Linked DNA regions of Mus musculus. The protein of the gene in region 3 interacts with the protein of the main gene of each other region in a pairwise test. Links are inferred from orthologs where the notes say so. Each region holds a gene or a part of one and is shown on either strand. Other genes may lie near its edges.

Region 1 (3,749 bases), on a different chromosome or scaffold from region 3:
CCCCATAAAGAAATCCACAGAGGCAGAAGAACTCAGAACACCAACTTACAGGTACCTTTTCAGACTAAGCTTTTATTTTTTTGATATTACAAACCAGTTTTCTTTATTCACAAACCACTGTAAGTGATATAAACACTAATTTCTAAAGACAGATATACACATTTTCTGGGTTTGCAGATTGAGTGATGTGTGTTAAGAAGTCACTATATGCCACATTAATCTTTTTTTCCATAATTCATAATAGCAATAGTTATTTAGATAAATGAAAACATTCCAAATAAATACTGTTGTTTTAAAAAATCCAAAATGTTTGTTTACACCTCTGACATGACAGTTTAAAACGACTTATCGGCAGCTCAGTGGAGTGCCTAGACAAAAGGTTCTGCGACACCGATTGGCACCCACTTGCTCTAAATGATTTTTATTAAAACTACATACGATCGTAGGGGAAAGTACAGTTCATTGATGGAAATCAAAACCGCAAATGAGTTTTACTTTAGCCAGCACAGTAAGAATTCCATGTTTGTGATTTCATACACAATGCAGGTTCTGGGCTTGAAAATCTGGGGCGACTGGGAGGAGTCTGTTGATCTTTTTGCAGCCCCCTTTTCTATTACTATCTTGACCCCATCTGGGGTTGAATGCTACAGCATCATGATAAATTGTTGCCTTGGATAACATCAACCAGGTGCACGCTGTAGCAGGCCAGGGAAGTGGGAACGTGATGTTGTCAAATGGTTCCCTCTGGACCTGTCTCTCCCTACTCAAAGAAAGGGGTCTGGTGAAAGAAGAACAGTTTCTCTTCTCACCAGTTCAGCAGTTTCTCTCCCTTCCCCTCCTCGCCCTTTGCTTTTCTTTCTCTCCCAAACCATGATCACCTGTCTTAGATATCGAAGCTACAAAAACTTTGTTTTCAAATCTCATGAAACTTTATTGATGGTTTAATATCCAACCGATCTTACGGGCATGCACGTAGGATGACGAGGAAAAGCTGGATCACACACACTTTTTTTTTTCTTTTTAAAGTTTCGTTTGGTTTTGATTTTAAAGCAGAGTTGTTACAGCAGGTTGGCAGGTTCACAGCGTGAGTTGATAACTTACTAAAGTGCGTGCCGCGGGGCCGGCACCGCACACACAGGCAGCAACACTACTCAGGGAACAGCTTGCTGATATTTTAGAATTTAAATACAAAACAGGAAGACCCATGACAGATACCCCAACTTAGGTTAACTTGTAAACAGGACAACATGGGGGGGATTCAAACAGAAGAAAATCACAAGTTGCAATTTTTCGGCTGTGTTGCTCTGGCCCTGCTCCGAAAAAGGATGGGGCAGATCTTGTTCTTTGGGGGTGGAGGGGATAGTTCTAGTTCTTGTTTTTTGTCTTGTGTTTGCTTCCTTCTGACAATTGTTGGGCCTTGGTGATAGAAATAAAGATACCAGTTTATGATAACCCTGGGGCACTGGGGAGAGGGAAGGGCGGGCTCTCACAGACTGAAAAATTGCAAGTTGCTCACAGCGCAGTCATGTTTTCAAAAAGTATCAAGCTGATGAAAATACCATGATTATCTCTATTCAATGATTGCGATACTTGTAAAATGCGACTATAAATCCAGATATGATTATCATGTAATTCCATAAAAATTATACGTCTGTCTCTAACAGTTAATCTACTAAGCTAAACTAAAGCCTCAGAGACTGTTCTAGAACATAACTCCACTGCACAGATGTAAATTTTATACATATTTTTAACTGGTACAAAGAATTTAAGTTTTTATTACTTTCTTTTTTGGAAAAAAAGAAAAAAATAGAAACAGTGCTTTTTTTAATCACCTTTTTATTAATGTTAATTTTTCCCTCCCGTAATATAAAAGTCAGCAGTGATATCAATAATTTCTCATACTGGAAGAAATATAAAAAGAATGCTTACTGATGGCCTAACTAGTAGCCTTTGCTTAAATAACTAGTGGGTAGGTAAGAAGCTGAGTACTGCAGGTGGAATGATAAGAGGGTGGACTGGCCGACACAGCTTCCTTCCTTCAACTGCAATCTCCGTGCTATGAGAAGCGGATTCTTAACACAGCCTTTGGCTTGACTTTGCCAGGAGTAACTTAGAACCATAGATTTATGATAGTTGGTGCAGTGGGTCATTTAGATTCATCAGTTACTATATATATGTATATATATATATATATATATATTTTCTTTTTTTCCTTTCAGCCAAACCCCTAAGCCCGCCCCAGCCTCCCCTTTCACAGAATAAAATAATGTGGATGCAGAAAGAATGACTTGCCGTTTCCAGTCTTCCCAAACAGCTTAACCCCAGTAGCTTCATGTTCGGCATATAGAATTCATTTACATAATATAGCACTCTGGATATGGCCCTAAATCAGTTTTTATTCATATCTAGCCTCTCTCTAGATCAACCACAAAAACTCCTACAGCCAACTGAACTACAAAAACCTTCAGAAACCAAAGACCCACAATATTAAAATACACAGAACAAAATATCTGAGGTATAAGATAAAAAATGTAATTTTTCCTCTTTTTTTAATTTTTTTTTCTTTTTAGTTGTTTCTTTGAGTTGCTAACATGATGTCCTACTGCATGTGATGCAACACTCAGGCCTCGGAAAGCTTCCTCTCTCCCCACATTGGAAGGTTGGGTTTTTTTTGTTCGTTTGTTTGTTTATTTGTTTGTTTGTTTAATGGTTTTATCATTTAATATGGAGCAAAACGGTTGTATCCCCCTCGGTATATACTAGCCTGCAATGAAGAAAGAACGAGACCCACATCATCAGCATGGCTCCTAGTCTTGGCATCGGTCAAGGGCGCAAAAGCATTCTGAAACAAAGCAATTTGAGGGGTGTGGTTTTTTACATGTTGCCTTTTGTAACATGTGGATCATCAAAAAGACTAATGTAAAAAAAAATAGACACTCAAAACCAAGCAAATTAGAGGGCACCCCCTTCCCCATCCCAGACCTTGTCAGAAAGTTAATGGTGGTCACTCCTGACCTCCTCCTACAACTCCTTATGAAAAACAAAGACGAAAACCTAATAATCCCAGGAAACTGAATTGGATCAGCTGGTCTTACCTACCAGCTACGAGGCTTCCAGTTTTCAAATGGGAAAGTGGATGGATAGGAACCAGCTCATTTTACTGGTTTGTTTCTTTGATGAGTGGACTAATTGATATGATGTTGCACTGGGAGAAGCTCTGTGTATAGTCAAAGGTGGTTCTAGACAATGTATTGAATAAAGGGATCAGGATTCTTTTCCACCCCTTTCCTCAAGTGGCCTAGATCTTGGAGTAGTCTTGGTTGTTGGATGTCACGGTGAAATAAGAATAAAGGCCTGCTTCTAGCTTTGGCTAGGCAACTGACTGACTCTGATGCTGCAGTGGGGGTGGGGCAGGAGCTCTGCTGGGTGTGATTAAGCTTATGTAGAACAGCAGGCTCTTCTATGCCTGCTTGGGTTTCTATGACCCAGGGTGCAGGGAACTGCCTAGCAGTGGCTTCCTACCACACTTAAGCATTTCTCTTTGCTGCAATTATTGGCCATTCCAATGAATGCCCATGGGACTGAGTTTCAGGGAGAGGGCTAAGATTCTCAACTCAAGCAGAAGACTGCATGCCAAGGCGTTGTATTGATCGCATGTGCTCTCACACAATGGACATGTCTTACTGGACTCAAGAGTGTTAGTGCATAGAAGTTTGAACAAGTATAGGCAAATCCACCCTACCCTTGCC
Region 2 (3,749 bases), on a different chromosome or scaffold from region 3:
TGTTTGTGCACAGAAGTGGTCACTCGGGTGATCCTGCCCGAGCTAGGAAAACAGGTGACTCTGGGCTGTTGCTTCTTACACTAGAGCACACCTCCCTCCCTCCCTTCCTCCCTCCCTCCCTCCCTCCTTCCCCCATCTCTCCTCATCCCTGCCGTGTGTGTGTGTGTGTGTGTGTGTGTGTGTGTGTGTGTGTGAGAGAGAGAGAGAGAGAGAGAGAGAGAGAGAGAGAGAGAGCTCTCAAATTTGCCTCCCAAAGGCAAGCGCACCCGCCCAAGCGCCACTCACCTTCCCGCTCAATCTCAAACGCACTGGTGGCATCCTCAGGTGTGAGGCAGCGGAACTCACTGGCAGGGAGTGTGTGGCGCCGCTGGCAGCCTAGGAACTCTGAGGTCCCAAGTGGCAGGTGCAGGGCCTCAGGTTTCAGGGAGTTGATGTTCAACATGGGCGTCTGGCCACTGAACCCTCCCAGGGGTTCCCCAGCTTCAGAAGTGCTCCCTGAGCAACTGTCAGAGGAGAGAGAGAGAGAGAGACAGAGAAAGACAGACAGACAGAGAGAGACAGAGACAGAGAGAGACAGAGAGAGAGAAAGAGAAAGAGACAAAGAGACAGAGAGAAAGACAGAGAGAGAGAAAGAGAGAGACAGAGAGAGACAGAGACAGAGAGAAAGAGAGACAGACAGGGAGAGAGAGAGAAAGAGAGAGAGAGGGAGAGTCTGGCGTTCATCACAGAGAGTGCCAGTCTCTTGGGGTAGAACCAGTCCCCAGGTACCTGAACCTCAAGGCAAACTGCAGGAACTGACAATGTTAGCGTGATTTTCTCTCTTTCACTCATGAGCTAGAGGTCCCTTTGAGCAATTGTTCAAAGCTCAAGACTCTACAGGCCCTCCAGCCTTGGGAGACTGTGGGCACCATAACTGTGTATCGGTATCATACCCCAAGAGGGCAGTAGAGCAAGGCCATGAACCTTCAACCTCTTCTTGTGAATCTGCGGGGTGGGCAGGCTCCCAGGCCCCTCATACCTGGGGCCTCATAGTCATGTGGCTACTGCCAGTCATGTGACTGTCTCACCCAGAAGACTTCTTGTTTTTTGTTTTTTGTTTTTTTTTTTCAGTTTTTGTTCTTTGAAGGAAGTGTATATGTCTGTGTATCTGTGTGTGGCTCCGTGCACAAGCCCCCAGCGCCCAGAGGTGAAGCATCCCCTGGAGCTAGAGCTACAGGTGGTTGTGAGCTCCCACTGTGGGTGCTGGGAACTGAGCTCAGGTCTGAAGCAGAACTCATACACGCTGTTAATCTCCGAGCCGTCTATCCTCCCCCGAGCTGAGAGCTTTTTAGGTTGTCTCAGACCTTAGTCCAGGAGAAAAAGCTCTTTAATTAATGTGAGCCTGACATCAGACTGGGTCATGCTGGGGAGATGGGGGATAAGATGGTTAAAGAGCCTAGGACTGGAGAGTCTGAGGTCAGGAGGGTCAGGTATGGAGGACATTCAGGGCGATGTGTCTGTCCTATCAGCTTAGGCACATAGAACATGCCAGTGTGATACCCTCTTTCTCATGACACCCTACAAAGCGGTGGTCCTTAGAGGATGTCTTCCATCCCGCAGCTTTCAAAAAGGGCTGAGGAGCTTAGGTGAAATGGCTCAGCAGGCAAAGGCGCTTGCCACCAAGCCTGAGGACCTGTGTTTGATCCCAGGGATCCACATGCTAGAAGGAGAGAACTGACTCCCACAGTGCTCCTCTGGCTTCCGCATGTGTGCACCGCACGTGCACATCAAACAAGTAACTAGAATGGAATAGAGATGTTCTTTTTAAATGGGTGATGGAGATAGCTCAAGCACGAGGACCTAAGCATAAGTCTCAGACATGGAAAATCTGGTGCAGGGCCCCTCACCCAGCATCTGTATCCTAGGACCAGAGACACGGGGTTGGACAAATCCCTGGGACTCGCTGGCTCCCCTAGCCAACCCAGCCCACTTGGTGAACTTCAGACCAGTGAGAGACCTTGTCCAAAGAGACGAAGTAGACAGTCCCTGCAGTTCTCAGAGAATGACACCCAGAGCTAACCTCTGGCCTCCACTCACACACACACACACACACACACACACACACACAAACACATAATATGCACACACATACATACACATTCACATACATACATACACAAATACATGCACACATACATGCACATACATACACAAGCTCGAATACATGCACACATACATACACATATACATGCACACACATGCATGCACACACACATATATATACATACATATATACATAGAGCCAGGGATGGGGGGCCCACTTACCAGAACTTTAAGAAGGAGTGCAGGTGTTGTCCTGGGGGCTGTCACTGGGTGCTGGGACTAGGAGAAGCTGAGACTCCTGACTGCAAGGAAGCTGTAGCACATATTTCCCCTGGCAGCATGTGATGGCTCAGAGATTCTAATCCCCCTGGCCCTGCCTCCCATGTTACCCCAGGCAGTATGATGCCAGCAGGGCTTGGCAGTCAGGCTCTGGCCCTATCCTGCTGAGGGCAGGCGTCATCAGTGGTACTGGGGACGTAGAAAGAATTACTAGTAGCCGTCTCAAGCTATAGGGAGAGCATGGGCTAAGCCTGGGGGTCTAACTAATCCCTGCTTTGTCCCCAGCTGGCTGGGGACCAGCCACCACCTTCTGTCCCTCAGAGGCCAGTTTGCCCACGCCTCTGAGGGTCCTTCTTGGTCAGGAAGCCTGCTATCCCTTATAGCCACATACCTGGGGAGGCAGCTTCTACAATCCACAGGGTATCCTGCCAGGTGAGTGTAACTATCCATTTTACAGAGGAGGAAACTGAGGCTCTGCCCCATAACTTGAGGGGCCCCAGTCAGGTACCAGGAGAGCAGGAAGGTCCCTAGAAACAGTTCTCCAGAGCAGAAACACCTCAATACCACCAACCAAAGAGAGAACTATGGGTCTATACAAAATGTCACGGGACACACACACACACACACACACACACACACACACACACCATCATGCAGCACCCAGAAGGAGACCAGCACAGTGGTGACAGAAGCCAGAACACAAGAGACACATGGTGGTTTCTAGTTCAACATCTTGTCCAGATGTTAGGACCCGGCTGCTGGATGCCCAGGGAGAAGGCCTTAAGGTCACCAGCAAGGTAACTGTTCAGTTGGACGGTGCTAATTCATGCAGCTACCTCTATGTATGTTATGCTCAACATCTTCTTAAACTCCAAAGATCTCTGACTTCCACACCTGCAATCTCTCTGTCCCTCACACCACTCTTTTGTTCCCTTTCCTTCCCACTCACACCTCACCCTGCCTCTCTTAGCTCTTCTCTGGCCAGCTCCTCTTACCATATGTTCCCCTGTTCCACCAGGGTACTGTAGCTCTTTGTCTGCATCAGCAAGCCTTGCCAGCTCAAGGCACTGAGCCAGGAGGAGCATTCCCCAAAGCCACCAGCAGAGGGCACACCTGCTAGGACCAGTGATCCTCTTAGAGGGATGCAGTTCCAACCTTGACCCTTGGGTGGAGGGAACCAGGGCCAGTACAGGCAACACCACACACACAATCAGCTGTCTGTGGAGACCTCTTCCCCCAGAATCCTTCTCTGCTGTTTGATGCTGCAGGATCTCCTGTTTTTGCCTTAACTGCATGCTCCCTGGACACTTCCATCTTTCCTCTGCTGGAGCCCTCAACAGACTTCTCATGGCTGATCAAAAAGCCCTTCTTAGGGCTTAGCCCTTGGG
Region 3 (3,749 bases):
TATAGAAGCCTCCTCTGACACTCTATTCCATGAGCTCAGCCTCTGAATTGTCCCATGAAGTTCTGAAGCAGCATGGAATAAGTGGTTGTCTGGAAACCAACACGAGACAAGAAGAGTTCATTAAGATCTATAAAAGACTGAGAACGTGGCTCACTTGGTAAGAGTGCTTGCTTAAGATGCAGCCCTGAGTTCGATCCTCGGCACTGCATAATACCAGGCATGGTGGAGCATGTCTCTACTGATCCAGGAAGCCTAACCGTAATCCCAGCATCTAGAAGGTAGAGACTGGAGAATCCATTCAAGGCCGCCTTGGCTGCACAGCAAATTTAGTGCCAGTGTGGGCTACTACATGTGACCCTGTTTCAAAACAAAACAAAACAAATCCAGCATTTACCTATTATGTGAACTCAATATTGTTTTTAATGCCAGGCACATGACAAGCCAAATGCAATTATGTCAAGATTAACTAGTCACTGTCCTCAGTTGAGAGGACAGAGAAAGTACCGTGACACTAAGTTATTTTTAAAACCAAGGAGACCATTTCTCTTCCACAGGAAAAAAGCTTATTTTATTAAGTATTTTTAAAACAACTGCTTAACATTTACTTAGATAAAAATATTTACAATTTCACACCTTCAGGAAGGTTCCAAAATATAAACACTGTAACCTCGCCTCTCCCTAGAGAAAAAAATTATTCTCTTCAAAAACAGAAATACATTCATTTTTTTCCTCACTGTGTAGATCAAGTAATTATACAAATAGACATCTGAAACATTTTCCTTTGTCATATATTTATATAATATATATTTATAACAGCTTTACAAATAAAGGCAACAACTTTTATGCCCAAATAAAAATGGGAGAATTTCAACACAAGCAGAGTGCATTTGGAAAGCTGGTGCAGGGCTGGTGGAGCAAGTCAAGGAAACAAGGACTCTGGATCAAAAATAAAACGTCCTTAAAGGAGATGGAACCCTTTTTAGCAAGGACGCTCCATCCACTGCTGGGCAAGAGGAAATAGCCTACAGAAAGGATCTTGGGGTGCCAAAGCTCTGCTAGGCCTTTGAGAAGCTAAGCTTGGTTCAAAGCTTTAGGATACACTTGAAATCCGTGTCTAGCTGTGCAATAAGTGTAGCAATTGATTACTTAGCTCTGTGTACTTTGGGACGTTTGGGGGCATCTCCGAGAGCCTCCTTTGGTTCCTTGGACAGCATGCCGTAGAAGTGAGAGCTAGAAACAGGTGCCAGAGGCCTGAGGACGGGTCTAGTTCACCTTGATTCCCTAGCAGCTCAGCTTGGACAAAGGGGACCATTTTCAGTTCCTTAGTAAACTACTCACAAAAGCCTGAGTTAAGGAACTCCACTCATGGTCTTTATTCATCAGAGACGGGGTTGGGGGGAAGGGACCTGCAGAAATTTGCCCAAACCACTACCGAGACATGCCAGTGTTGGCGACCTCACCACCTTAGCAGAAAGCTCAGCCTGACCACTGTCAGTCTGCTGTGAGTCACCTCCACAATAAAGGGAGAAGGGTGGGGTCCTAACAGCTGGCTGTGAGCTGTGCTCTGGAAAGCCCTCTTTTGAAAGTACCTTTTCTCAAAGCCACAGACAGACCCATGTCCCAAACTGGAGAGTGACTCACAGATCAAGCCTTTGAAGCATATGAAAATCCAACCGATTTGTATCAAAGGGGGGGGCTCTTCTCTGGGTAGGGAAACGCCCAGAGATGTGCTACAGTCCTCCAGTCTGTCATCTGATGTCAGGCTATCCTTCTCGTGTCTCCCTTGTGTCAGAAGGAACTTATTGTCCTACATATACAAACATACATACAAGCACGCACGCACGCACACTCACTCACTCTCACACACACTCTGAATCTTCTCTGTGGGTCTGCAGGGTGGGCTGATCTCTCTGCACTCAGGGAAACCTTTGTGGTTTTTGGAATTAGGGAGGAAAGAAAGCAAGGCAGCAGGAGATCCCTCCAGAGTTTAGTCTTTGGTTTCTAAGTTTAAAGGAGGGATCTGCTTCAAAGCCTGGAGCAAGGCCGAAGAGTCGAGGGACGAATGTGCCAAAGGAGAAGGGAGTCTCTGGGGCAGAAGCAAGGGAGTCGGTATCTTGTCTGGGTTCATGAAGCTGGAGAGGGCTGCAGCTGAGGTGTTGAGGCCTGGGTATAACACTGGCACAGAGGTGGGGTACCAGCATTTCTCCAGCATAGGCAGGTAGGCAGTGGCCGATGGTGGGATGAGATAGAAGGGAAGGCAAAAAGGAGGCTGATGTGGGTGTGGCCCAAGAAATGGGGAACCCATCAGATCACTGCCCGCGAAGTGGCCTTCCTCTTCTGAGAGCTGCATTCGGCTCTTTTTGGTGGGGGGCTCTTCGGATTCTTGCTTAATTGTGCTGACACGTTCTCCCACGGCGAACCTGCGTCCATGGTCGCTTTTGAAGTACGGCTGCTCACTGCGCAAGTCCCCCTTCTCCAATTCACCTCCATAGCCACTGTCTGTGTCCGTGTCACTGCCGCTCTGCTCCCCACCCGAGGGAGCAAAAGTCCGCTGGATGACTGGCACACAGTTTTTCCCAGGGCCTTCTGATCCCTTGGCTAGGAAGCTGGGCTTCTCTTTCAAGTCCACGGCTTTGGGAGCCGAGTCCAATGGTTTCCTGGAAGCACCACCCTGCAGCAGCTCCGAGACCACACGATGGAGATGAGTGACGAGCTGGGAAGATTTCAGGTCCCGAGTGTTCTCATGCTTCGCCAGGTACTGAAGTACCTCACGGGCACAAGTCTGGAAACCTGAGCAGAACATTTCTTGCCCTGCCTCGAGATTTCTTCCCGACAAATCACCTGAAGAAAAAGACCCAGAAAGGAGGATTTTAGAAGGTTGGGTGGTAGGTAAGTCTGAGGCTCTCTTCTTGTCTCTTTTGAAATTGTCGGGCAATTTGCATTTCAGACTCCAAAAGTCTATGCCTAGAGAATTATGCTGAGAAGTATAAAGAATAAAATAAACAAATTCCGACCACTTAGTTACAGGGTTTTTTTTTCCTTATTAATACTTGGGTTTTAATACTAATTACAACAGAGTATCGCTAAGGTTACATATACTCCACTTTCCGAACTAGGATTCATAATGTCTGTAGAGTGTCCCAGAGAAATAAACCAACTTACTTCTACTCTTGATAAACTTCATGTAGTAGCTACCGATTTTTCTTGTGTCACAAAAATGAACATGCTACTGTGTTTAAAAGTTCAACAGTCACATCTTTTTTTTTTTTTTTAAATAAAGCAGTCTCATTCTAGTCTAGAGTGACACTGAGTTACTCAGCAACCCAAGCTGGCCTTGAACGCATATGAGCCTATCTTAACTTTCAGACTGCTGGGCCTACAGGTCTGCACTACCACACCCATCCTCAATAAGTTAGTATAGCAACAGTTTCATGGAAGCAGAAGTCCAGAGACTCATAAAAAGAAACTATATAAAACAAATACCGCCTAAACAAAACATTGTCTCCCTTGCCCCCCACCCCTTTTTTTGTACGAGATAGGATCTAGGATCTCCCTATTTAGTCTTAAAAGGCTTGGAATTCCCTATGCAAAACTGGCTGGCTATGAATTTAAGGGGCTCCATCTGCCTCTCAAGGACAGGACTACAGGCATGCACCACCATGCCCAAGAAACTGTTACAGCTCCCACTGTAATCCCCCCGCCTGGGAGGGTGAGGCTGGCAGGTTACTTCTGAGCTTTAGGAAAACCAA

What was found.
Region 1: the proteins of Bhlhe40 (region 3) and Rbfox1 interact in binary tests that used the Homo sapiens proteins (3 or more experiments, as listed by UniProt). The link is inferred for Mus musculus from reciprocal best matches to the Homo sapiens genes BHLHE40 and RBFOX1.
Region 2: the proteins of Bhlhe40 (region 3) and Aanat interact in binary tests that used the Homo sapiens proteins (3 or more experiments, as listed by UniProt). The two-hybrid records come from large-scale screens. The link is inferred for Mus musculus from reciprocal best matches to the Homo sapiens genes BHLHE40 and AANAT.

The regions. Positions count from the first base shown.
Region 1 is NC_000082.6:7,408,784-7,412,532, reverse strand, and holds the end of Rbfox1 (RNA binding protein fox-1 homolog 1), read right to left. Parts: exon of another isoform or gene 2,843-3,749; coding exon 2,720-2,842; 3' UTR 53-2,719; downstream 1-52. UniProt on the Homo sapiens protein: RNA-binding protein that regulates alternative splicing events by binding to 5'-UGCAUGU-3' elements. Regulates alternative splicing of tissue-specific exons and of differentially spliced exons during erythropoiesis.
Region 2 is NC_000077.6:116,592,330-116,596,078, reverse strand, and holds the start of Aanat (serotonin N-acetyltransferase), read right to left. Parts: upstream 2,393-3,749; 5' UTR 2,305-2,392; intron 504-2,304; coding exon of another isoform or gene 443-503; coding exon 286-442; intron 1-285. UniProt on the Homo sapiens protein: Controls the night/day rhythm of melatonin production in the pineal gland. Catalyzes the N-acetylation of serotonin into N-acetylserotonin, the penultimate step in the synthesis of melatonin.
Region 3 is NC_000072.6:108,663,571-108,667,319, reverse strand, and holds the end of Bhlhe40 (class E basic helix-loop-helix protein 40), read right to left. Parts: intron 2,842-3,749; coding exon 1,988-2,841; 3' UTR 395-1,987; downstream 1-394. UniProt on the Homo sapiens protein: Transcriptional repressor involved in the regulation of the circadian rhythm by negatively regulating the activity of the clock genes and clock-controlled genes.